Alligator mississippiensis: one gene and its partners. The protein of the gene in region 1 purifies or fractionates together with the protein of each later gene. This does not show direct contact. Links are inferred from orthologs where the notes say so. Each region holds a gene or a part of one and is shown on either strand. Other genes may lie near its edges.

Region 1 (7,991 bases):
TATATAAGATGACCACTGACTCGAGTCTTGTCTTCCACGTAAGGAACCTAAAAACTGCTGTGTAGCAACAGACCACATAGAACTTCCTCATCTATTTGATTCTTCGTATACATATTTCTTTAGCAGATACCGCTCACTACACAAAAAGTCTACTTTACATGTAGCAACATGCAAACAATCCCTTCTTGACATGCTACTCTCCCAACGCCATCTTTTTTAGACTATGTAGCTGCTAGAACAGAGATAGAGAACTCATAAAGCTGCAAAAGGAGTCAGAAGCCAAACAAAAAAAAATATCACTTGACCATTTTTTCAGTGCACCCCTTGCTATTTAGTGCTGGCAGGAAGAAAAGAAGGAAGATGGTTTTGTCCATCACCATATTACTGCCAGAAACAGACCATGCAGAATCCCCAGTTGTTCTCATATAATTACAACCAGCTACATGATTCGTGAGATCCCCAAAGTCCTGCTGCTGGAAAGGAGAAAGTTTTAACTCCACGACGAGGAGATATAAAGCAAACTTTCCCATGTTATTATTTAAGCACTAACCTGGCATATGGGAGACAGCCCCCCACTTCTAAGTCTCCAATTCATCTAGATAAGACAAGGTTTCTCCCCCCACACCTTTCATTTATGCCAACTATGGCAAATACTTAGTAGTACAAATAAAGAAATAATGATCCCTGCCCAAGGAGTTTAATATCAGATCTCAATTTAGATTTTAAAACGTTACTTTTTACAGTGAGACAAGGATTTCTTAAAGTAATATCTTTTATTGGACTAACTGTATAGTTGCCTCTTGCTTAATTCCTGGACGATCGCAGGTATAACATCACTAACACTACCATAAGATTTTATAGTGTCATGGTTCTTTAGAAAGAGCTAGTATGTGCATACATACATATACACACATGCACGCATGCATGCAATTTTTATATAAAAGTAACTTGTTTAATCATTCCTGAAAGGAAAAGCATTATAAAAAATATCAGACTTTTAAGTTTCAGGACACTAAATTAGTCGGAAGGTTAATAGTGGATAGTTGATCTAGACAGGATTTAGTACCACAACCTGGCAGCTTCACACTGAAATCAGCTACATGTAATTTAAGGGAGGTGGGGAAGAAAAAACATTTTTTCAATAATCAGCTACTCTTAGGACTGGAGAGTTTGCTCTCATTGGGCTCCTATACGTATGCAAGGAGCTGGCTCCGATGTGCTGGAAATCCTGGATTAATCGAGTCTGCTGGAGAGCAGAAATTACCACGCTTCAGCAGACTAGCATCATGTGCATGTGTCTCCATGCTGAAAAATGGTGGTGGAGTGCTTTTAGCTCAAAGTGCCCTGCCGCCATTTTTCAGCGTGGAGGATGCTGACGTGTGATGCTTGGGCACTTCTAATTAGGATGGGGGGGGAAGATGGGGCTGCTTTAATCAGCATGTGTAAAAATGTCCATGGATACTAAACATGAAAGCAGCAGCAGCAGGGGTGGAGGTTTCAAATTTTAGGACATCTATTGTTTCTCACCCATGGGTTGTTTATCATTGATTGTAGGCCGTCCTGAACCCAAGTGGGGCAGAAAACAAACCTAAATAATAAATACATTATAAAATGAGTAGGCCATGCAGGACAGTATATCTGAAGTGAATATCGAAGTAGGAGACACAGTGAAGTATTCATTTTGGAAAAACAACTGCTCATTCCTATTACCGACAGCCAAATTCACACGCATAATCCTAACCGCAGCCGTTCTCTTGAGTAACTGCAGCGAACGGCACATGGAGATGCTGTCACCACTCGCCTTATTTTGCTAGAACAGTGAATGCTACTGAGGACACGGCACTGCTGACCATCAGCATTTCCGTCTCACAGGAAGCTCCTGTTCGCCGTGCTAAACAACATGGAGCGCGCAAAGCCAAAGACTAGGGCTCCTACCACTGTACAGCTAGTGCTGGGGAGTTTGCCAAGCGGGTTATTTTAAGGAAAAAGCGTGATAAAAAAAAAGATTCTTTAGAACTTCAGAGCATCCACCTCAAATGCTTTCTGGACCTCAGACAGGATGACCGTCAGTCTCTAAAAAAGAATAAAGCCAACACTATAAATGACTACAGGCATCAGAAAATAAATTAACTCCACATTAAAAATATCTATCATTAAAAAGGCAATTCCAGTTTATCACTGTCCGACGGTGGGAACGCTGCAAGTGTACGTGGACGGGGGCACGGAAATAACTCCTGGAAGCCCAAGGTAAGGTCGGCAAGGGTTTTTTTCTATGCTAAACCTCATTTTTAGCGACTGTCTTTGGTTTAACCACTTTGGCAGAAAGTCCCACACTTAGCCCAAGGTCACTTTCTGCACCATCGGGACAAGTGCCGAAATGCGGCTTTTGAATTCACTCACTACTGAAACGTGCATTTGTTTCCTTAAAACCGCGTCCCTTTGCTGGGACGAGGGCGACCCTGGCAGCGAGTGCCGCGCTCCTCTTCTCTCTCCTCCCAGCCCTCGGAGAGGAGCTTCTTCCGCAGCAACTCGCAGGCGGTTTTCCTCCGAAGTTGTTGGGAAAAAGCCCCGGGGAGGCAGGAGGAGGCGGGAGCTGGGGACACTCGGGCAGGCCCAGGTGCGGGAAGCAGGGCTGCGCCGGGGGCTGCCCGCTCGCTGCTCCCGGCCGCACGTCGGGGGCAGCGCGGACAGCGACGCGCGCATCTCACGGCCAGGCCCGCGAGCCCTGCCCCTGCCCAGGCCGGAGCCGCCGCGGACAAGGTCAGTGCCGCCCCCCGGGGCAGGGCCCGGCCCACGTCAGGGCGGCGGCGGCGCGGGGCCCGGGGGTGGCGGTGGGGCGGGCTCGCTGCCAGGCCCCTTCCTCCCCGCCCCGCCGGCCGGGCCGCGCTACCTTTGAAGAGGTAGTCGTACTCGTCGTCCCGGGTGCCCATGGCGATGGCGGCGGCCCCGCTCCTCGGCTGCCAGGCACCGACGCGGGCCGAGCGCTGCGTGGGGTGGGGGGGGGGCGCTGCTGCCGCAGCCTATCAGCAGTCGCCAAGGCCCCCGGCGGGGCGGGCCCGGGGCGGTGCCCGCCGCCACTGCCCAATGGGAGACCGGGAGAGGCTGACTGACAAGCGGAGCAACCTATGAGCCGCGAGCGGGGGTAGGGGCGGGGCCTGGCCGCGCGGGGCAGGCTGCGGCGGGGATGTCAGCGGGGGCCGCCCCGCCCCGCCCCGCTCCGAGTAGCGGGCCCAGGAGCCCGGCGTAGGCCTGAGGCCGCCTCACTCGCCCCGAGGGCCTAGGCCCGGCTCAGCCCTGCTTGTCCCCGCACCCCAGCTCTGGCTGCGCCTGGGGCCTGCTCCGCGCCAGGCTGCGGCGCCGGCCGGGAGCGGGGCCAGGCTCTTGTTGCTGGCTGGGGCCGCGGGTGCAGGGGGTTTCTTTAAAGAAAGGAGGCGCGTGGCGGGGCTCACTTCCCAGCTCGGGCATCGCCACGCTGCCTTCAGTCAGTCGAGATGTCCGGGTTGTGTCGAGGGGGGCTGAGCTCGCAGGACGAGCCTGCTGCCTCCGCCCTGGTGCTCGGGTCTGGGGTCCAAAGGGGAGCAGAGCACGCGTCACGCCCGGGCTCTCGTTTCTGCGGCTCGGATGGGAGCGCGCCACCATCCTCCGCACACGGCGGCGAAGGAGCGGGGGTTCAAACTCCTTCCAGCCGCCTGTTATCGCTCTCTCTTCTCTCTTTTCGTTTCTCAACCTAGTTTCCTATTAGGGCCGTGCCAAACGAGTCAAAACCGCGTTGAAATGAAGCTGCCAGCAAAATTTTGCACAGCCCTGTTTCCCATCCCACTCCTATTTTCCGTCCAGGGATTGACCATATCCAGTCCCTATGCAACTTGCTTACACAGAGACAGTAATAACCAGGTTACCGTAGGGAATGTGTTCAGTTTTATTATACTACCTGGGTCAGACTGGAATATGGAGAGAGGTGTCTCTGACCTTGCGGGAGTAGTTAGTAATACTGGGTAATTCGGGGACACTGGAACTAGGCTGATATAGACAGGATAACAAATGTTACTGGTAGTGGTCGGGCACGGTATTTGGGGTAAGACGGCCAATACTTTTCTTGTTGAATGGTCATGCAACGAACAAGAGTCAATACTATTTTAGAGTTGATTTTTATTAAATAATAACCACCTTACAGAGGGTCACTTCTTGATTCAAGATGATTTTCCAGTAATTATGAGCTGTTCTGTGTAAACTGCAAGATAACCAAAATAGGTCTGCAACTGGGGTTTGGATTTCAGAAGAGCAAACTTTGAGCAACCAAGGAAATGAGTTCAAGGGACCAGTTGGATTCAGAGTTCAGGGGATTTAAATGCAGATGAGCCATGCGAATCAAAACCACAAGTACTATCTGGAAAATGTGGATAGGAAAATGTTACAGGCCAAACTGGACAAACTAGCACATTATCCAGGCATTAAGATATACAAGGAATGGATAAACAAGATTGATCAGTAAGGAGAGAGGTCTTTCCCAGGTCAGAAAGTGCAGAAAGGAAGTGATAATGCCCAAAGGCCTACATGAGTTCAAACTTGCAAAGAAAATCAAAAAATAGCAAAAGGTCTGTCAGTCATATAAATGAAAAAGAACTAGGAAGGAAACCTTTTATACCCTGACAATAGGATAGAGATAAAGGACAATCTAGATATGTCCTGAGGACTGAATGAACACTCGGTCTTCAATATGGATGAGGAAGCAAGTGAAGATAGTGGTAAAGTACAAGATGGGGATGAGGAATTGGTAATTAAAACTACCACACGTGATATGAATGCAAGACTTAGCTTGCTTCTTGTGAGGAAATATGGTACAACCAAATATTCTCCACCCCAGCATGCTGAAAGAATGGCACGTGAAAAAGCAATTTCTGTGGCACTGATCTGTCAGTTCAGGTGTAGTACCCTGTTACTGGAGAATAGCAACGATAGTGACTTTATTCAAGAAAGGTGAAAAAAATGGTCCCAGGTAATTACAGGCCCATTAGTATGACTTTAGTATTATGCATGATTTTAGAACAGATTGAAGGAAAAAATAGAGATATGGAGGTAAAAGAAAATAAGACAAGATGCGATATAATTTTATCCAAAAGCAGAGGTGGATCCAGGAGTGTGCAATAGTGCAGTCATCTCCTTTTAATTCTTGACTCACCCATACTTGAAAACCAATTGCTTGGCAAGGGCAGCGGCATTTCTATTAAGGGAGTGCTGAGAGAGTCAATTGACTTCATGACTCCTAAGTCCTCTGATTCCTGCTGATATTTGTCCACTCTGCAAGTGTTAAGGACCCGCTATCCTTTGTAATGGACTTGATGTTCCTCTATTCAACCTATCCTTTCTTCTGCAATTTTGCTGTCTATTAGCCATTCCTGAGTATGCCTCATATTTTTCACAGCCCTGCAGATTGCTTGTACCGCTAGTTAAACACTCAGGTTAAATCTGGTGTGGTAATATTAACTCGGGTGTAGAAATGACTAACAGTGAAGTATAGGAGGCACTGTCAAGATGCTCAGGAAGACTAGATTTTGTTTTGTGAATTTTAATAAAATATGCACATTTAACTATAATGACTACAGGACTAACGACACAATATCTTAGTAAAGCTTCTAGTTTCTCTCTAACTGGAGAAAAATAGGTTGTATTGTATGTGATGATGTAACATACCATCTGCAGCGCTAGGATTTTCAAAATCCTAGATCTGCCCATGTCCAAAGGAGTTCATGTCAGAACAATAACTTAGAGAAGGGTAATACAGTGGACCTAATTTACCTAAATCAGGGGTCTGAAGCTCACCTTGTGCCCTGGACTACAGGGCTCCTTGTAGGCTAGATCTAGCTCAAGGCACACTGGGCACCTATATGCATGCAATGAGTCTGCTCTGACTCACTGAAATTACAGTGTATTGGAGCAGACTTGATTGAGTCTGCTGGAGTGTGGTAATTACCATGCTCCAGTAGCCTCCAGTGTCGCGTGTATCAGTGTTTGATGAGCTTTACTTAAAGCACCCCACTGCCATTTTGAAGTGCAGGGATGCTGATACATGAGATGCTCCAAATGCTTTAATTTAGAGCAGCTTTTGGACTCACTCTATTTAAAGTGCCCTTTCCACACGCCAGGAATATGTTCATAAATGCCCTGGATGCCTGTGTTAGGGCCAGCAGTAATGAATCCAGAATGGGGCAAAGAGTGATGATGAATCCAGCACAGGGCTGCAGAGGCAATAAGGCAGTGGCGATTGCAGATGACACCAAGCTGAGCAGAGTAGTAGATAGGCTGGAAGGTAGGGCTAGGATTCAGAGTGACCTAGACAAATTGGATTGGGCCAAAAGAAATCTCATGAGGTTCAACAAGGACAAGTGCAAAGTCCTGCACTTAGGATGGAACAATCCCATGCACCAGTACAGGCTGGGGGGCTGACTGGCTGGGCAGCAGCTCTGCAGAAAAGGACCTGGTAGTTGCAGTGGACAATAAGCTGAATATGAGCCAGCAGTGTGCCCTTGTTGCCAAGAAGGCTAATGGCATACTGGGCTGCATTGGTAGGTGTGTTGCCAGCAAGTCAAGGGAAGTGATTGTTCAGCACTGGTAAAGCCACATCTGGAGTACTCTGTTCAGTTTTGGGCTCCCACTACAGAAAGGATGTGGACAAATTGGAGGGAGTCTAGCAGAAGGCAACAAAAATGGTTCAGGGGCTGCAAAAACTGGACTTGCTTAGTCTGCAGAAGAGAAGACTGACGGGTGATTTGATAGCAGCCTTCAAATGCCTGGAGGGGGGTTCAAAAGAGGATGGAGCTGGACTGCTCTCAGTGGTAGCAGATGACAGAACAAGGAGCAGTGGTCTCAAGTTGTAGCAAGGGAAGTTTAGGTTAAATAATAGGAAAAATTATCTCACTGGAAGAATAGTAAAACACTGGGACAGGTTACCCAGAGAGGTTGTGGACTTTCTATCCTTGGAGGTTTTTAAGACCCATGTAGAAGGCTGGATTGATCTAGTTGGGGATGGTCCTTTGAGCAGGGGGTTGGCCTAGATGATCTCCTGAGGGCCTTTCCAACCCTGATTTTCTATGATTTCTCTGATGGGCCAAGGAGCCAGAGGGACATATCCACTGGGGATCTCAAATTCTGCCCCAGGACATGACACCTAATGGGGACTAGACGATCCACAACATTCTCTAGTCTCCTTCCCCAGCCCTGTAGGCTAGATGAAACTGCTTGCTCTGTGAGCCAACTCTGGCCCAGAATCTGGATATTTAACACCCCTGATCTAGATTTAAGCAAGCAATTGGTATTGTGCCTCTCTGAAAAATCATAAAATCACAAGGTAGAAAAGGAGTAGCTAAAAGATAGCCTGTGGTTGATTATGTTAAAAATGGAGATTTCAGACTGGAATGGGGTTGCTAATGGCATTCTTCAGGCATCGGTTCTGGGGCCTGTTCTGTTTAACATTTTTGTTAGTGACCTTGGTGCAAGATCTAAGTACACACTCATGAAATTTGTGGCTGATATTTTTTTTCTGGTATTGAAAAATTCAGAGGAATGTAAGAATGTGAAAAGTTCGGTCCTGGGTCAGACCAATGGTCTGTCTAGCCCAGCTTTCTACCTCCAATATGGTGCTGTCTATGGGGAACCTGGGTAACTATGAGGCTGTCTACCTTTCTCTCATCTGTGCATGTCTCCTGGCAGAGTTTCATTGAGCAGAGTCTAGAGGCTGCTTAGATGCATTCGAGGGGCAGCAGGCACTAGCCTGCTCAGTGTCCCCCCTTTCCCTCCCTTTTGGGACCCTAATTATTAACTTTTGACTTGCACTCCTGTTCTTGTTCTTTCATCTGTTGTCCCCACTATTCAGTTTGTACAGGGTTAGAGGTCCCCCTCTAACTGCTTATAGTTTCCTGGTGGGCTTAGGCCCAACATTTGCATGTAGTAAATACTTCCAGTAGCGGCAGCAAAAGATGCTTTACAGAGAGAGT
Region 2 (7,087 bases), on another chromosome or scaffold:
GTGGAGCATCCAGGGCTAAGTCCCATGTTTTGTTCCCCAAAAGCAGAGTGACTTAACATAGGCAAGATAGATCATCAGTCCCACTTTAAAAATGGAAGAACGGGAAGCGAGAGGGGGACTGGTATGCAGAGCAGTGAGTCAGCAGAGACCAGACTCTGCTCCGAATGATTAGAAGCCTTGTCTCCACACTACGAAAGATAAATGTATTGGACCACAGGGAAACCAACAAGTGAGAGCCACCCAAGGTAAAAACACAGTGAAAACATATATTTTTTTTAAATAATTTTTTTGTGTTCTGGTCCAAATCAATTCCAAATCTGTGAGTCAGTCAAGTTTGCCCTACTGCTGGCAAACATCCTCCACCTCACCTAGGGCTTCAGATGTTTCTAAATCCTTTGGCAGGCATCCTAGGTGCAGGCCCAAGCTCGGAGACTTGGGGTTCAGATGCCCCCGTGTTTCGCTTGCCCTCAGCCATAAGGCCCCAGGGGTAAGCCTGGAAGGAGTCTCCCATTTCCATAAAGTGGGCACAAAGCCAAGATCTTCCCACTCCAGCAGCAAGTGGGAGCTTTACTATACATTACTTCCGTGGGTACTGTATGGTACCTACCCCATACTAGAAAAGCAGCCATCCTTGGGTGCGACTTAGTGGTCATGGTGAAAACATGGTGCTTAACAGATACTATGAGTTAAACCAGACAAGGTATAGCTGTGGGAGAAGAGTGCCGAGTGCACCGTAAAACTGAAGTGCCTTGCCGTCATGGTGAGTTCACCTTGCAGGGACTTATCATGCATTACCTTCTGTGCAGTGAAAATGCCTTTTTTAGCCGTGAAGACAAGGGATGAGGTCATTCTGAGGATAGAGGCCTGTGATGTCCTCCCTGCTTCTGCTGAGCCACATAAGTGCATTTCCAAGGTGTGCAGACAATGGTGTCTGATTGCAGTAGGTCAGTGCTATCTATGTAAGAAGCCCTCAAGCACGGCGCAGTGTATTACAGGTATTTGTGACAAGCTGTGAACAACGTACATGCACTTTATGAGCTGGGCCTGGCCCTCTACAGCAGTGGGGAGGGGGCATATTTTCAGTGCACAGGTGGCCGGAGAGTCTAAGCACCTGTCTGAGCCCAATCCAGGTGTGAGTTCCCCTACAGCAAAATCCATCTCACCTTGCTTTGGCACATTCACATCCTGGGTGTAGCTTCCCCTCTAAAGCTGGGCTCCTTAGCACAACTCTGACTGTGTGGGGCTTGAGGAAAGCTACATTCCAACTATATGGGGTACGAACCAGCTTTTCAAGGCTCAAACCATCACAGCGTTACAGGATTTCATCTCAGGCCCTTTCCAGTGCTTGGTCCGATCGGCAACTGGGACTTGCCACTTTTTGCTGAGACACGTCATCCATCCACTTAGAGGCACACACGGCCACGAGACTGTGGACTTCAAAGCTATGACAGGTTTCTGACTAAAACACCTGTCATGGGGCTAGGAGTGATTCTTCTCCACTGGGACTTTAGGCATGTATAATTATGGCGTCGAATCCTATGCTGGGGGAGAGAAGAAGGCAACCTTTCTCTCCCGGCTAATGAAACAGCAACAACAAAAAGATGTTGCTCACAGGATTGGAATGGTAGAATGAGGAGTTTAGTGAGGTGTTTAGGGCAGGTGAGGTGATCAAAGGTGTGCAGTGAACTAATTTGTCACATACCTCGGCTGTTTTTCACGTGGCCTGGCTTAGAGATTTCACTGCCACATACCTTGTGTGTGTGCACGCGAATGCGGATGCATACTGCCATTGCTCTGCCTTGCCTGTCCAGCAGATCTGCTCTAAACAGTGAGAGCCTAGTGATGTCCAATGTTACTAAGCTAGCAAAGTTTCCATTTAAACTCCTAAAACAGTCAGCATCTTTCATGCTCAGTCTCTGCTATAAAGGTGGAGCTAATCTCTTCCCATGCTGGATTTATGAATGCAGTTCAGCACTGTCTGTATGTCAGGGGTCAAAAGGAAAGCTCAGACACTTGACTCATGGGTCTTGGGTCTACCGGATTTTGAATTGGCTTCTAGCATCCTCCTTTAACTGGCCATAGATCCTCAGGGGAAAAAAAGGCCTGGTGACTTGGATAGCAAGGTACATACAGACATTAAGGGATTGGAGTTCTAGGATTAGGAAAGGTTGACTCGCCCGGGAGCTGTAACATGAATCATTAAAACCAACATGCTGAAGAAAACAATTTGGAGGTGTCTGGTGCATTAGTGTGGGTGTATGCATGAGATATGCAGAGAAGCTCTGTAATTTCTTTTTCCATCAGACAGCTGTTTTATGAACAGACATTCAGGCCTCTGTCTTACTAGGCCTCCAACGTAAAATGCAGCCCCGTGACATAGTGACATCATATGATCAAAAGAGCAAAAACTGAAAAGATATCACATTTACCCAAATAACTTTGTTTGCCTATGCCTTTAGACCAACACGGCTACAACCAATACACCTAAAACTAAACAGTGAAAGCCTCTTTGACACCAGAGAATTTTCTGAGCCTTTGCTAATGTTCATGTGAAGAGCTTTTGCAGGTGATTTCTTTTATTATCTAGCACTTGGCTCCCAGTCAGTTGAAACCAGGGGCACAGAGAGTCTGAGGGGAGGGACAGGCCTTTTTTTTTAGCATTGTGTTAGTTACCCCAAGTGAGGACACATCTAAGTGCTGGAGCGCAATGTGTCTTGCGAGCACGCGCAGATCATGCATGGGGACCTTAGTTGGTAGCTGATATAAGGAAGGGCAATAGGTGAGATCATTGTTTACTAACTCATGTGTAAATGAGTGACTCCTCTGTTCCTCAAATAAAGCAGAACCCCACCCTCCAAGCATTACATTGGCATGTCACACCGAAACTCCCAGACAGCAAAACTGCATTCTCCACCTTCCGGTCCGTCTGCTGTCTGCTGGCAACAAGCTTTCTTCGGATCTGACTGAGAAGCAGAGGGGCCAGGGAGGGAAGTGCAGATGGAGGGGAAAAAGCTCAAAGCCACGGGTCCTACACACCCACGTAGAGTCACAGAAAATGAGGGTGGAAGGGACTTTAGGAGGTCACATCTAGTCCAACCTCCTGCTCAAAGCAGGACCAGCCCCAACTAGATCATCCCAGTCAGGGCTTTGTCTAGCCGTGTCTTCAAAACCTCTAAGGACGGAGAGTCCACCACCTCTCTGGGTAACCTGTTCCAGTGCTTCATGAGAAAATTCTTCCTAACATCCAACCTTAAACTCCCTCGCTGCAACTTGAGACCCTTGCTCCTTGTTCTGCCAGCAGTCCAGCCCCATCCTCATCCACATCGGTGCTGCAGCTCTTTCCTAGGCGCAGTCGGTCAACGAGACCGGAGCCTCGAAAGCTGCGCGAGACCGATGCCGGCTGCAAAGCTCCCAGTTAAACAAACGTGCTTCATTTAGAAAAGCTGCTCCCCTGAGGAGCCTTGCACGGGCCTTGGCGCTCCTAGCCGGGGCACTGTCCCCGCAGGGATCGGGCTTGTGTCCAGTTCTGCGCGCTGGGCGCAAGAGCGCCCTGGTTCGTGCAGTCACCTGCCGCCTTCGGTGCTTCTGGAAGTGAACAGGCCTCTTTCTTACAAGCTTTATTCTGGACGGACAGAACCGGGACTGCCAAATACACGATCTACCAAGCACAACGACCCTGGCTGGGCGCGTCTACACGTTCATTAACGTGCCTGAGACACTGAGACACACTGAGTTTAAGACTTCCTTAATAAAGAGCTAAGGAAAGGTGGTGTGCCCAGAGTTGCCGCTGACTGCGCAGTTGGTGCGCTGCGACGCTTCTGGTGTAGACGCACCCGCCCTGTGGGACTCCTCGCCTGGGAGCCGAGGGAGGGGCACGGGCACGAAGCCTGCGGGAAAGAGGCACAACACACCCCCTTACTCCAGGGGCTTGGCCCCGCCCACCCTAGATAGACCCCGCCCACGCCCCGGCTTCCTACCGTGACCACGCCCACTCCCTGACCTTAGTGGCTCGGCCCCGCCCAGAATTCTTACCCCGCGGCTCGGCACCGCCCATTCTGACGTCACGGGCGGTCCCGCCTCTCGCGAGAGCGGCGCTAAGCAGCGGCTGCCGGGGTAGCAGGAGCGGCGGCGGCGGGGGCTCAGTGCCGCCATGTCGCTGCCGGGGCCGGGGTCCCCGCGCTGGGCGCCCACGCACGTGCAGGTGACGGTGCTGCAGGCGCAGGGGCTGCGGCCCAAGGCGAAGGGCGGCGGCGGCAGCGACGCGTACGCGCTGATGGCGCTGGGCAAGGACAAGTTCGCCACGTCGGTGGCCGAGCGCTGCCTGGGCCGGCCCGTGTGGCGCGAGGAGGCCACGTTCGAGCTGGCGGCGCGGCGCGGCGGCGGGGGCGCGCCCGGCCCGGTCCTGCAGCTCACCGTGCTGCACCGCGCCCTCGTCGGCCTCGACAAGTTCCTGGGCCGCGCCGACGTGCCCCTCGAGCCGCTGCTGCACGACGGCGGCCGCCGCCACACGCGGTCAGTGCGGGGCGTGGGGGGCCGGGGTGCGAGGGGTCCCCGCCCCGGTGACGCCTCCTCCCTTGTCTCTCTCTTCTCTCTGCCAGGCCGCAGCCCGCCGCTCTTTCGGGCTCTCTCCTTGCCGTGCCGATGGGTAACGAGCTGCTTCTGCTTCCCTGTCCTTCCTCCTCCTCCTCCTCCTCCTGGCTCTGTCTCTAGCCCCCCCGGAGGCCGCGAGGCCAGAGGTGCGTGGGGCGGCGGGTGCTGGGGCGCACGATGGAGGGGAGGCTGAGGGGACTGGGCTTGCTTGGTGTGGAGAGGGGCAGGGGGGTGGGCTAGTTGTGACCTCCTGAGGTCCCTTCCACCCTCGTTGCCTGTGACACTTCACTTCTTCTTGCTCGTGCTCCATGGCAGTGTGGGGTTCAGCCTTGCCGTGCAGCCCTTCACGTACCACAGACTGGAGGGCAGGGTAGGGAGGGCGCGGGGACGGCTTTATTGAGAGGGTCTGGAGGAGCACAGAGAAGGCCACTTGTCAGAGAAGTGCCCACGGCTGCGTGATGCTTGGCAGCGTACTACAACCTGTACCCCTGACGCTTGACAAAGTGTTTTACGGGTTGCTAATGTAATAACATTGCTTCTCTGCGTGTTGATTCATGATACAAGCTGCTTTGCCTAAAGTCTTTCAGCTCCACTGTCGACAGTGACTCTATTTAAGTGCGTAATTTGTGACTGAAGCAATGGAGGGGAAACAGCTCTCAAAGGACTTGGGCTAGAGGCCTTGAAATTGTCCCGAGTTAGTTTCAGGGCTGCTGTTCCTGGAGTACAGGTACCGACTGAGATGGGTTGGAGCTGGGCTGTTCTCGGTGGTGGCAGACGACAGAACAAGGAGCAACAGTCTCAAGTTGCAGCGAGGGAAGTTTAGGTTGGATGTTAGGAGGAATTTTCTCACCTGGAGGGTAGTAAAACACTGGAACAGGTTACCCAGAGAGGTTGTGAAGTTTCCATGCTTCGAGGTTTTTAAGACCTGGCTAGGCAAAGCCTTGACTGGGATGATGTAGATGGGGCTGGTCCTGCTTTGAGTAGGGGGTTGGACTAGGTCCCTTCCAGCCCTCCCAACCCTCATTTAAACTACAGACAGAATCACAGAGAATAAGCCCATAATGTTTCTTCTCCTTGCCACTTCACCCCTGGTCCTGAGGCTCTGCACTTTAGAGTACATTGTCTAGGATATCTCAGTGTGTAATATTCATGCTGCTGTTTTTTTATGTTAAGTGCCATCTCGTCTTCAGAAATGAAGTGAGCTGAATGAATAGGACCAGCTTTGCTATCTTAATCTACTGCACATTGGGTTTTGGGAAGACATTGCTGTGAGTTCATGTAGTTGATTAATGTTTCTGGTCTCTTCTTCTCAAAGACTAGAAATATTTAAATGAAAGCTTAGATTTGGAAGTAGAGTGGCTTGGAGCATTGGGGAGCTGGGAGAAAGTAAAGATAGGAGTGCTGAAGAAGAAAAATCCCAGAAAAATAGTTTCTGGGATCCCTCTGCTCAGCAGCCATTGGCTCTCATGAGACTTGCTCACTCTACAAATAGGAATTTATCTCCTAACTGTTGGTCCTGCCTGTCAAACTGGGTGTGTGAATATGTGGCCAGTAAAAAAAAGACTCTGCAGATTTGATTAAGCCAAGAGCTACCCCTAAATGTAAAATATAATCCCATGTGTTGGTATTCTTGCACAGCTGCTTTCCCTATAAGCTGACAGCATTACATGGCTGTTCTTTTGGGGCAGAGGCTCCATTTTCCGGATCCTCTTTGTTACATTGCACCACTTGAGAAAAATCCCTCCAGAAGGGGAAGTGAGGAAACTGCAGTCTGTAATTTACAAGAAGGGAGGATCAGCTAGCTTAATGATTGCAAAATGTTTTGAAGATGACAGCTGTATATTAAGCTACGCATGCGTATTCAAGTGTAATCATGGCCTGGAAGGTAGCAGTTCATCCTGATTTGAGTTTCCATGGATTAAATGGTCTAATTGGTAGTAAAACATGCAGGAATTTAGAGCAGGAGTGTGACAGGTGTGGAGTGGGCAAGCTGAAGCAAGAAGTTCTTTAAAAAAGAGTGTTTTTAATTGCAATAACTGTCCAGCTGTATTGAATACCCATATATCAGGTATGTCAAACTCACCTGATGCCCCAGGCTAGATCCTGACCATGGGACTGCTTGGAAGCTAGATCCACAGGCCATACGTTTGATACCCCTGCTGTTTAAATCTCTGTATAAATCTCGAAAAGTGGAACAGGTTGCACAGGGAACAGCAAAACCGAAGCCTGTCCCTGCTGTCATCAGAATGAGTTGCTATGGAGATAGATGGGCACAAAGAATTGATCTTATAGCCAGTGAACAGGTATAAGTGAAATATTAATAAGGTCTCGTATTGAAGTACTCTGAGAAGTAGTCTTAAAATGGAAGAGAAATACAGAAAATTACACGGCAGAGTTCTTTCTAAGTAGAAAGCCCTGGAATGTGCTTGAAGGGGTCTTATGAACATGAGAGCTTGTTCATAACTTGTGAATTGATGCCTGATTGTATAAAGTCAAA
Region 3 (7,974 bases), on another chromosome or scaffold:
CCAGACACGTCAAGGTCGCTAGCAGCGTTTGGGCCAACCGATGTACAGATGCTCCCTCCCCCCGTAACACTAATCCAGATCTTCACCACCTCTAAATCCGTATGCTTAGCCTTGGCCATGCTGGGCCAGGCACAGCATTCCCGAGGCAGCAGGCACACAGGGATTTCACATGATGCTCTTGCGTGAGAGTCAGAGCAGCAGCTAGAGGAACCGGGTACAGGTGGCTCCATCTCACTCAGACTTGGCCCCAAGCTTACACAATCCCTTTCAGCCCCAGCCCAGTGCCCGGCCACATGAGCAGTGTGGTTATAACGCAACATGCAGCTTCCAGGGCAGGCCTGGACTTCAAATATCTGGGCACACGGGCTGAAGTTCCTGCTACCATTCGGCCTCAGAAAAACGTATGAATGCCAAACATTTGACATCCCTTCATGGTTTCTCAAGGCTCCATTTCAGATGGGGGTCAATTTAGCTCTCTCTCTGCTATTTAACTAGTAACAAGTCAGACCTTTGTGCCATCAGGACAAGGGGGCAGCCCTAGATTGGGAAGAAGGCACAAACAACAAGGCAGGAGAAGCCAGAAGCCAGCCATTATAAAACTGATTTCAACAACCTCGCTCTGTAAGCGCGATAGGGCACAGAGGAGAGGAGCAGCAAGGTTCTCACGCAAAGGACTCTGCATTCAGTCTCTGCATTAATACTTTGCACCTTCCAGAGACCAAGGCATTTAGCCTTCCAGTCGCACAATGAAGAGGAAACTGAGGCGCAGAGCACAACTGGCCAGATCACACAAACAGCAGCAGGAACCCCTAGCTGCCTCACTGTCCCCACTCTTCCCCTCTCCAAAAAGCGTAAGACAGGACTGGAAAAAAAAAAAAATCATGTGTTTTTCAAAACAAGCTGCTGATTTACTTTTCCAGCACTAAAAGGCTTGAGGCCCAGTCTCTGGAAGCACAAAGCTGTCCCAGCTCTCACTGACCAACAGGAGCTTGAGGCATTCAGGAAGGAGGCCTTCACAGTCCAGACTACGCAGCATTTGGAAACAAGTCAGACCAAGTCTGGAGGCAGTCTCAGAAGACACAGCACACGCTTCTTCAGCTCGACTGCAGCAGCAACTCGGGCAACCTGGTACTGGCAGCAATGCTTCAGAACAACCGGCCCTTCTCCACACCTCTCATCTCCAAGCCCTTTCTAACCAAGTCATTACTAGCCTCCTTTATTAGGGATAAAGGAAGGTCCCACGACAAACAGGTGAACGGCATAATCCGGTTTTGCACGCTCTAATCCAGTAACCCCAATCATTAGGTCCAAATGCTTCGCAAGATGAGACCTTGAAGTGAGCAGACAGGGGACAGCTGGTCCCCAGGGAGTTTCTTGGCTTCCACAAGTCAGAAGATACTTTTTTACCCAAGGTCCCCGGAAGCTCACATTTCTAAATACACAATTTAATACCAAAACTGCATTTCAAAGCTTGTCTAAGTCCACCCCTACCATGCAGCCGGTGCAGTAAAAGACAGCACCCACAAAAACCCCTGCCCCTCATACATTTCCTGGATCATCACAGCTACATCAGTCCAACACTGGCATTTTGAGATCAGACTGTGCCTCTGGCTGGTAGAAGCATCTAAACCAAGAGGTCAGGTGCAGCTGACCCTCGGCTACACAGAGATCCAAACTCAGCTGGGACACAAGGGGTGCCGTTCAGACTGCTGCAGCTACCACCACCCAGAGGAGGGTGCAGACTTGAACCCCAACTCTGCTGAGCACTTACTGTCCCCCAGGCAACTCTGTGCAGCACTGACCGCTGGCCTCACACATCAAGCGCAGCATTGCTCTTAAATCCTTGGGCGTCTCTTTCAGGTAACAGCAAAATGCAGGAGGGACAAGCCGGCCCAGGGGAGGGTGTTGGGGTGGGCCCCTAGTTTGCCTTGAGCCCTAGCCAAGTGCAATAGAAAGAAGATGATGGGGGGCTGCATCCTGTTCCCAAGAAGCTGCTCTGCACCAGAGCCCCCCGCACCCAGCGACCTGCAGCAGATACACCACTGACTACACAGCGAGAGGGGTCCTGGGCCAGGATGGCTCCAGATCCCGGCCCCACCTATGGACCTCCCGCAGCTCCTTATAGCGTGGTCCAAACCCACCCCAAAGCTGCTTGGACAAAGCTGGAGGCACGGACAGGACAGGGCTGTGCGCTGGGGCATTACCTGAGGCGCTCTCCCCCGACAGGGCCGCTGCTGCCTCCACGTGTGCTGCCCCGCGAGGCCGGACGAGCCGCTCATCTTCGCACCGCGTCAGAGACGGTCCCCACAGGCTAGCGGAGAGAAGGCAGCGAAGGGCCATGAGGGTCCGCTGGCACCAAGAGACCCCCCAGCCCGCCTGGTGGACGCGCTCCCCCCACATGCGCACACCCCCCAGAACCCCGTACACACACACACACACACACCCTACTCTCTCATCGCAACAGGCAGGTTCCCACACTTGCACACATGCGCCTGCATGCATCCCCCCACATACACCACACACCCCCCCCCCCAACACCCACAGGTGTGCACACACCCTTACAACCCCATCCCCCACAGGTGCACGCACACACGCTCCCCCACAAAACACAAATGCACCTCCCCTCACACCCACAACACCCACGTGGGCACACACATCTCTTACATCCCCTCACACTCACGTACATGGCCCCCCCGCACACCTATGTGCGCACCTCCCCCCGCGTCCACTGGCGCACACGCACTTTGCCTAACGCCACAAGCTCACACACGCCCGTGCCCCCCAACACACGCACAGCGCACACCGCACCCTGACACACCCCACACACAAATCACACACGCACCCTTGCACCCCACCACACACGCACGCACCCCCACCGCACGCGCACGCACACCTGCACGCCCCGCCGCCGCGCTGGGTCCCGCAGGCCCGGGGTGGCCGCGCGCCGCCTGAGGGTCCTTCGAGCGCGCGGGGGCGGGGGCGAGGCTTCCCCCACCGCCTCGGAGTCCGGAGCCGCCTATGCGCATGCGCCCGCCCCGAGCGCCCGCCCCTTTCACCCGGGAGGACGGGGGAGGGTACTGGGGGGGGGCGAAGGACCCGTGCACCCATAGACGCCGGTGGGCCTGGGAGGGTGGCTATCGCGCTGCCTGATCAGGAAGGGCCTAGTCAGGTTGCAGTGCAGCGGCGTTGCAAAGGGAAATAAACCGCACGTCACGGGGAAGGCGGGGTGGGGAGCATGTTGCTGTCTGTAGCTGGCAAGGCGCCGGGGGCCGTTTGCGTTGCACCCATTTCACAGAAGGGAAGACTGAGGCACGGTGGCCCCAAGGGCATTCCAGGGGCCAGGAATCCCTGTGCGTGGGCTAGGGCTGCTTCCAGAAGCCCTTGGAGGTACCCGCCTGCCCCTTCTGCTGGGCACCCAAGGGAACTGGGGATGCGTCTGGCTGCCCACCCCGCCGGCAGGACTGGGGGTGCCCGCGGTGCCGCCTCAGCCCCTCGCGCAGTCACGGGCCAGCCCTGCGATGCCCGTGGCCAGCTCGTGGTGCCAGGTTCTGCCAGTGCACATTCGAGAGCCGTATCGGAGCGTCACCCCGCGGCATCGCAGCCATCACTGCCCTGGCTCCGCGTTGCTTATTGAGTGTGAACCCCGCCTGGGCCTGCGGGCAGCACGAGCCGTCCAGGGGCCAGCCCTGCCGACCAGGCCATCGAAATCCTAGAGCCGCGGGGCTGGAAGGGAGCTCCCGAGGTCACATCTAGTGCAACCCCCCAGCCGAGGCGGGATCAGCCCTGTCCAAACCATCCATCATCCGAACTCTTCGACCATCAACCCTGACACAACAGAACCCTGCCCCAGGGAAAGCCAGGGGACTGCGGCAGCAGCGTCCTGCTGCTGTAAAAACATTGTTAATAGACACTAAAGAGCTCCCAGGCTGAGGCCGTGCATGCCCTTGTACAGAGGAAGGCAAAACCCACCAGTCCGGACCAGTCTGACCGGGGGGAAAATCCCTTCCTGACCCCAAATATGAAGTTGGTCTGACCAGGGCTAGGTTAACAATTTAGTGAGCCATTTATATAACTTTTTTCACTCAATAATTATGTAAAATAAGCACCACTGGGTCCCCTGCTTCACGTAGGGCCCCAAGTATGTGCCTAGTTTGCCTATACATTAATCCAGCCCTGGGTCTGACCCTGAGCAAAGGGGCAAGACCCTCTAGCCCAGTGGTTCTCAACCTTTTTTGGACCAGGACCCATTTGGAGATATCCTGACCTAGTGCCCCTCACTCCTGATCTGGTGCTCCCTGGCCTCAGCCCCCAGTGTGTGGGGCAGGGGGTGGGTGTGTGGGACACAGGGCCCTAAGCAGCCCCCTGCAGACTGGAGCTCTGCCAGCCTGCAAAGGAAAAGCCACGGTTTCCCACCTTTTTCTTTAAAGGAGAATCCATTTTAGAAGTTTGGTCACAACCCAGAGGTTGAGAAATGCTGCTCTAGCCAGGACCCTCCAGCTTTGGTGCCAGCAGGAGCACTGGCACAGGCCAGTCCCCAGTCCCAGCCTGGGTTGCAGCCAACACCCAGTGCCTTTGAGGGAGGCTTAAACCCTCCCTGATACATGGAGCAGAAAGAAGTTGGGGAAACCAACAAAGCCTGGGGGACTGAGAAATCCCCACAGCAGAGCACAGGCATCAATTGCTAGGTCATCTCCGACTAGTGGCTGTGCAGCCTCCTCTTGAACACCTCCAGTGATGGAGCGTCCACCTCTTCCCTTTCATCTATGCCATGAGCTCCCTGCTCTAACAGCAAGGTTTTTCCTGATCTCCAATTTAAACTTACTTTGCTGCAACTTCAGAGCTGTACCCCCAGCCCCATGCCAGATCTAGTGCACTCCAACCAGCTGCACACAGCACCCACCCCAGAGCAGCTCAAGTGGGGGGCGCTGCGTGTGGCATGTCCTGGACCCCACACATGGGGCATGTCTGGTACACATCACATATGGTGTGTGGGCCAACTCCAGACCTGGGAACAACACGGGCTGGATAATGGGGCTCTGTGGGCTGCGCCATTGACACCCCCAATCTAGCACATGTATTAACAGCATCAAAGCTGATGGCACAGGGAGCCTTTGTAGTGAGCAGACAGGGCGGTCGTGTTACATGATGCACTTGCTGCGCTTTGTCTGTCCGGTATTTGTCAAGTCTCTGTTCATCTCTTGGCTGGAGCAGGGAACTCTTAGAAGCGATTGCATGAAGCTGGCTCCCCAGTGCCCCACTCTCCCATCCCACAGCCCTGGGAGCTGGGGTCCCCTGCAGGTAGGTGGAAATCTCTTGCTTTGCAGGGTTTTGCAAAGTGAATCAAGGATGGGCAAGGATCAGGATACATCTGTGACCCCTTGTGAGCCATGCAGTTGGCAAAATACAGCTGCGCACAGGCCTTTTAGATGGAGAAAGCATTGATGCAGGCAGAAGTCTTCAACCTTGCTAGCTCATTTGCTGTTAATTCATGATGCTAAGTCCTGGAGGAATCAAACAGCAGCAGGTGGGGGTTTGCCCCCTGTTCGAATCTCTGCTTAGCAAACAGGTCGGATCCCTCTTAGCTTCTCCCCAGGTCCCTGCAGCCCCAGGCCGTGTCCAGCTTTCCACTCCTTCCCTGGACTTTTTTCCTGCTTCTCTCACATAACCAGCACCCAGCCTAGCCCATGAGGTTTCTGGGCACCGTCCTGCCTTTGCTTGGCTACTGCCAGTTGCCAGTGTTTGGCTTGGAGACCACTGTTGTTTCATTGAGGAAGTAAATTCTTTCTTTTCAGCTCTTTGAAGAAAAGGCTGGCGGTTAAACCAACTCATCCAGCCACACTTCATCTCCCCCATGACATATTTATTTAATAAGTACATAGCAGGAGTGAGTAAAAACCAACAAGGTTGGGGCTGGGGTTCTATGACTAGACAGTCTTTGCTCCAAGGAGCTTACAGTCACCAGCACCATACATAGCTGGAAGATGAGCCTGCAACTTCCTCCCTGCCCCAAGCTGTGAGGATGACATATCTGCAGCAAGGAGTTCAGCTGACGGGCAGGTGAGATGTACCTGAGGTGGGAGGATGTTCTTTCACAACCAGCTGAGTGCATTGCAACACCTACGCCCCTGTGCTACACTGGAGCCTGGGAAACCTGGAACACGTGCCTGGGGTGGTGCTGAGCTCTGGGACAGAAATGACATCTGGACAGCAGAGATGAGCCCAGAAAACCAGGCCTCTAAACTTCAGCAAGTGGAAAATACAAAGCGGCAGCTCCCTGGTGCCAGAATGCAGATACCCCTGCTTTGTGTGCGTGTGTCGGGGGGGATGGTTAAAATCAGAGAGGATATTTCTGGCTTCCAGGGCAGGAGAAGCAACTTTGTGGGGCTGGCTGCATGTCCTGAGCACGGCCCTGGGATATCACACATGCATGTGGACGGGCAGGGCAGCTGTCAGCTGGCACAAGGTTTTCCAGTAATAGTCACACTGCTTGAGTCAGCAGCAAGGCCCCCCACCCCACCCAGTGGCATGACAGGGCAGCTGCCCTGGACTTCCCTCCATGAGCACCTGGCACTGCTGCTATGTGCTGGCATTCATGAATGGCAGCAGAGGTTGCAGTTGTAGGAGTTCAGGATCGGCTTGGGTTCAGATTCCAGGCTGCTTGTCACAGTGTCAGGCTGCAGCCGATGAGGCCTGAATCCCAGGTCTCCACTCTACCCAATGGGCCCTAATTCCTCCTCAGGACTAGGATGAGAACCCAGGAATCCTGACTCCTCACCCCCATGGCTGTAACCACTACAGCCCATCCTTTCCCCAGATCTAGGCCCAGAACCCAGGAGTCCTGGCTCCCAGGTCCTTGCTCTAACTCCTAGATCTACTTCCCCCTTGGGACTAGCAAAGGAATCCAGGTGTCCCCAGGCTCCCTTGCTGTAGCTGATGAACACCAGCCTGTTCCTGGAGCTGAGAGAAGAATCCATGTGGCTGCTCTCTCAGCCACATACCCATCTTTCCACTCAGAAACCTGAGCAGCCACAAATGAGCTTTAAAAGGGCTCAGGCAGGCAGTGCTAGGGACCCGTCCCGCCCAGTCATGTGCTGGGAGCCAGAGGCAGGGGTACCCCAGAGTCTGCCAGGATGCCATGAGTCACTGGGAAAGCCCCGTGATTCCCATGACAGCTCAGGCTCCACAGTGGCAGGTTGGGGTGCAGGGCAGAAGAGGCTGCCCTGGCTCTGCTAGCAAACACCTTCCCAAAGCAGAGGGCTTTCTCCTCTTCACCCACTCCCCTCCTGATGTCAAGGCCTTGCAAGCAGAGGTGGCAAATGAGTTCTAGTCATTTCATTCCTGGCCCATGGTTAACACCCAGAGGATGCAGCTGAGCCCCATGGCACCAGGTGCTGTACAGAGCCAGGGTGAGAGATCCTTCCCTTCCCCAGCTGAGATCAAAGCCCCATGGTGCCAAGAGCTGCCCAGACCCTGAAGGAGCTACCACCTGCCCCAAGAGCTCCCAGTCTGACTGAACACAGTACAGGAAGAGAAACTGAGGCAGTAGATTCTGTTTTTACTTACAGCTCCCTCAAGCTCTTTTATCCATTTGCAAGCCCACATCCCCCCTCTCTCTCCCTCTCTCCCCAGCTGTGCCTGAGCTCCCTGTGTGCTCGGAGGCGGCCACAAGCTGGATCTCATTCATGCTGGCATCTGTCCAGGTCAGCTCCATTGAAAGTCACTCCAGATTTACACCTGTGTAAACAGGAGTGGAATTTGGCTGGTGCCATTGGCAGACTTCCCGCAGCTGCTGGCAAAGCCTCCTGGACCCTGCACACGCAGTGCAAAGGACCCACGTGATGCAGGGAGGCCTCCCCTCCTTCTCTGCTCACTATAAGGGGGCCCTCCCTCTCTGCTCACTATAACAGGGCAGGGGTCCACAGGCACTGGAGCAGGAGACACTTACTCAGAGACCTGTGGGGTGGGAAAAAGCTG

The links. Proteins that work in one complex are often made in the same cells at the same time.
Region 2: the proteins of RAB11B (region 1) and RAB11FIP1 purify together in Homo sapiens (affinity purification with mass spectrometry; 3 studies listed by BioGRID and IntAct, counting the BioPlex papers as one, with this or other methods). This does not show direct contact. The link is inferred for Alligator mississippiensis from reciprocal best matches to the Homo sapiens genes RAB11B and RAB11FIP1.
Region 3: the proteins of RAB11B (region 1) and PI4KB purify together in Homo sapiens (co-immunoprecipitation; 3 studies listed by BioGRID and IntAct, with this or other methods). This does not show direct contact. The link is inferred for Alligator mississippiensis from reciprocal best matches to the Homo sapiens genes RAB11B and PI4KB.

Annotation. Positions count from the first base shown.
Region 1 is NC_081839.1:10,095,755-10,103,745, reverse strand, and holds the start of RAB11B (ras-related protein Rab-11B), read right to left. Parts: upstream 3,001-7,991; 5' UTR 2,931-3,000; coding exon 2,891-2,930; intron 1-2,890. UniProt on the Homo sapiens protein: The small GTPases Rab are key regulators of intracellular membrane trafficking, from the formation of transport vesicles to their fusion with membranes.
Region 2 is NC_081830.1:18,618,532-18,625,618, forward strand, and holds the start of RAB11FIP1 (rab11 family-interacting protein 1), read left to right. Parts: upstream 1-4,079; 5' UTR 4,080-4,150; coding exon 4,151-4,512; intron 4,513-4,534; exon of another isoform or gene 4,535-4,736; intron 4,737-7,087. UniProt on the Homo sapiens protein: A Rab11 effector protein involved in the endosomal recycling process. Also involved in controlling membrane trafficking along the phagocytic pathway and in phagocytosis. Interaction with RAB14 may function in the process of neurite formation.
Region 3 is NC_081838.1:19,916,364-19,924,337, reverse strand, and holds the start of PI4KB (phosphatidylinositol 4-kinase beta), read right to left. Parts: upstream 3,009-7,974; 5' UTR 2,894-3,008; intron 2,312-2,893; 5' UTR 2,205-2,311; intron 1-2,204. UniProt on the Homo sapiens protein: Phosphorylates phosphatidylinositol (PI) in the first committed step in the production of the second messenger inositol-1,4,5,-trisphosphate (PIP). May regulate Golgi disintegration/reorganization during mitosis, possibly via its phosphorylation.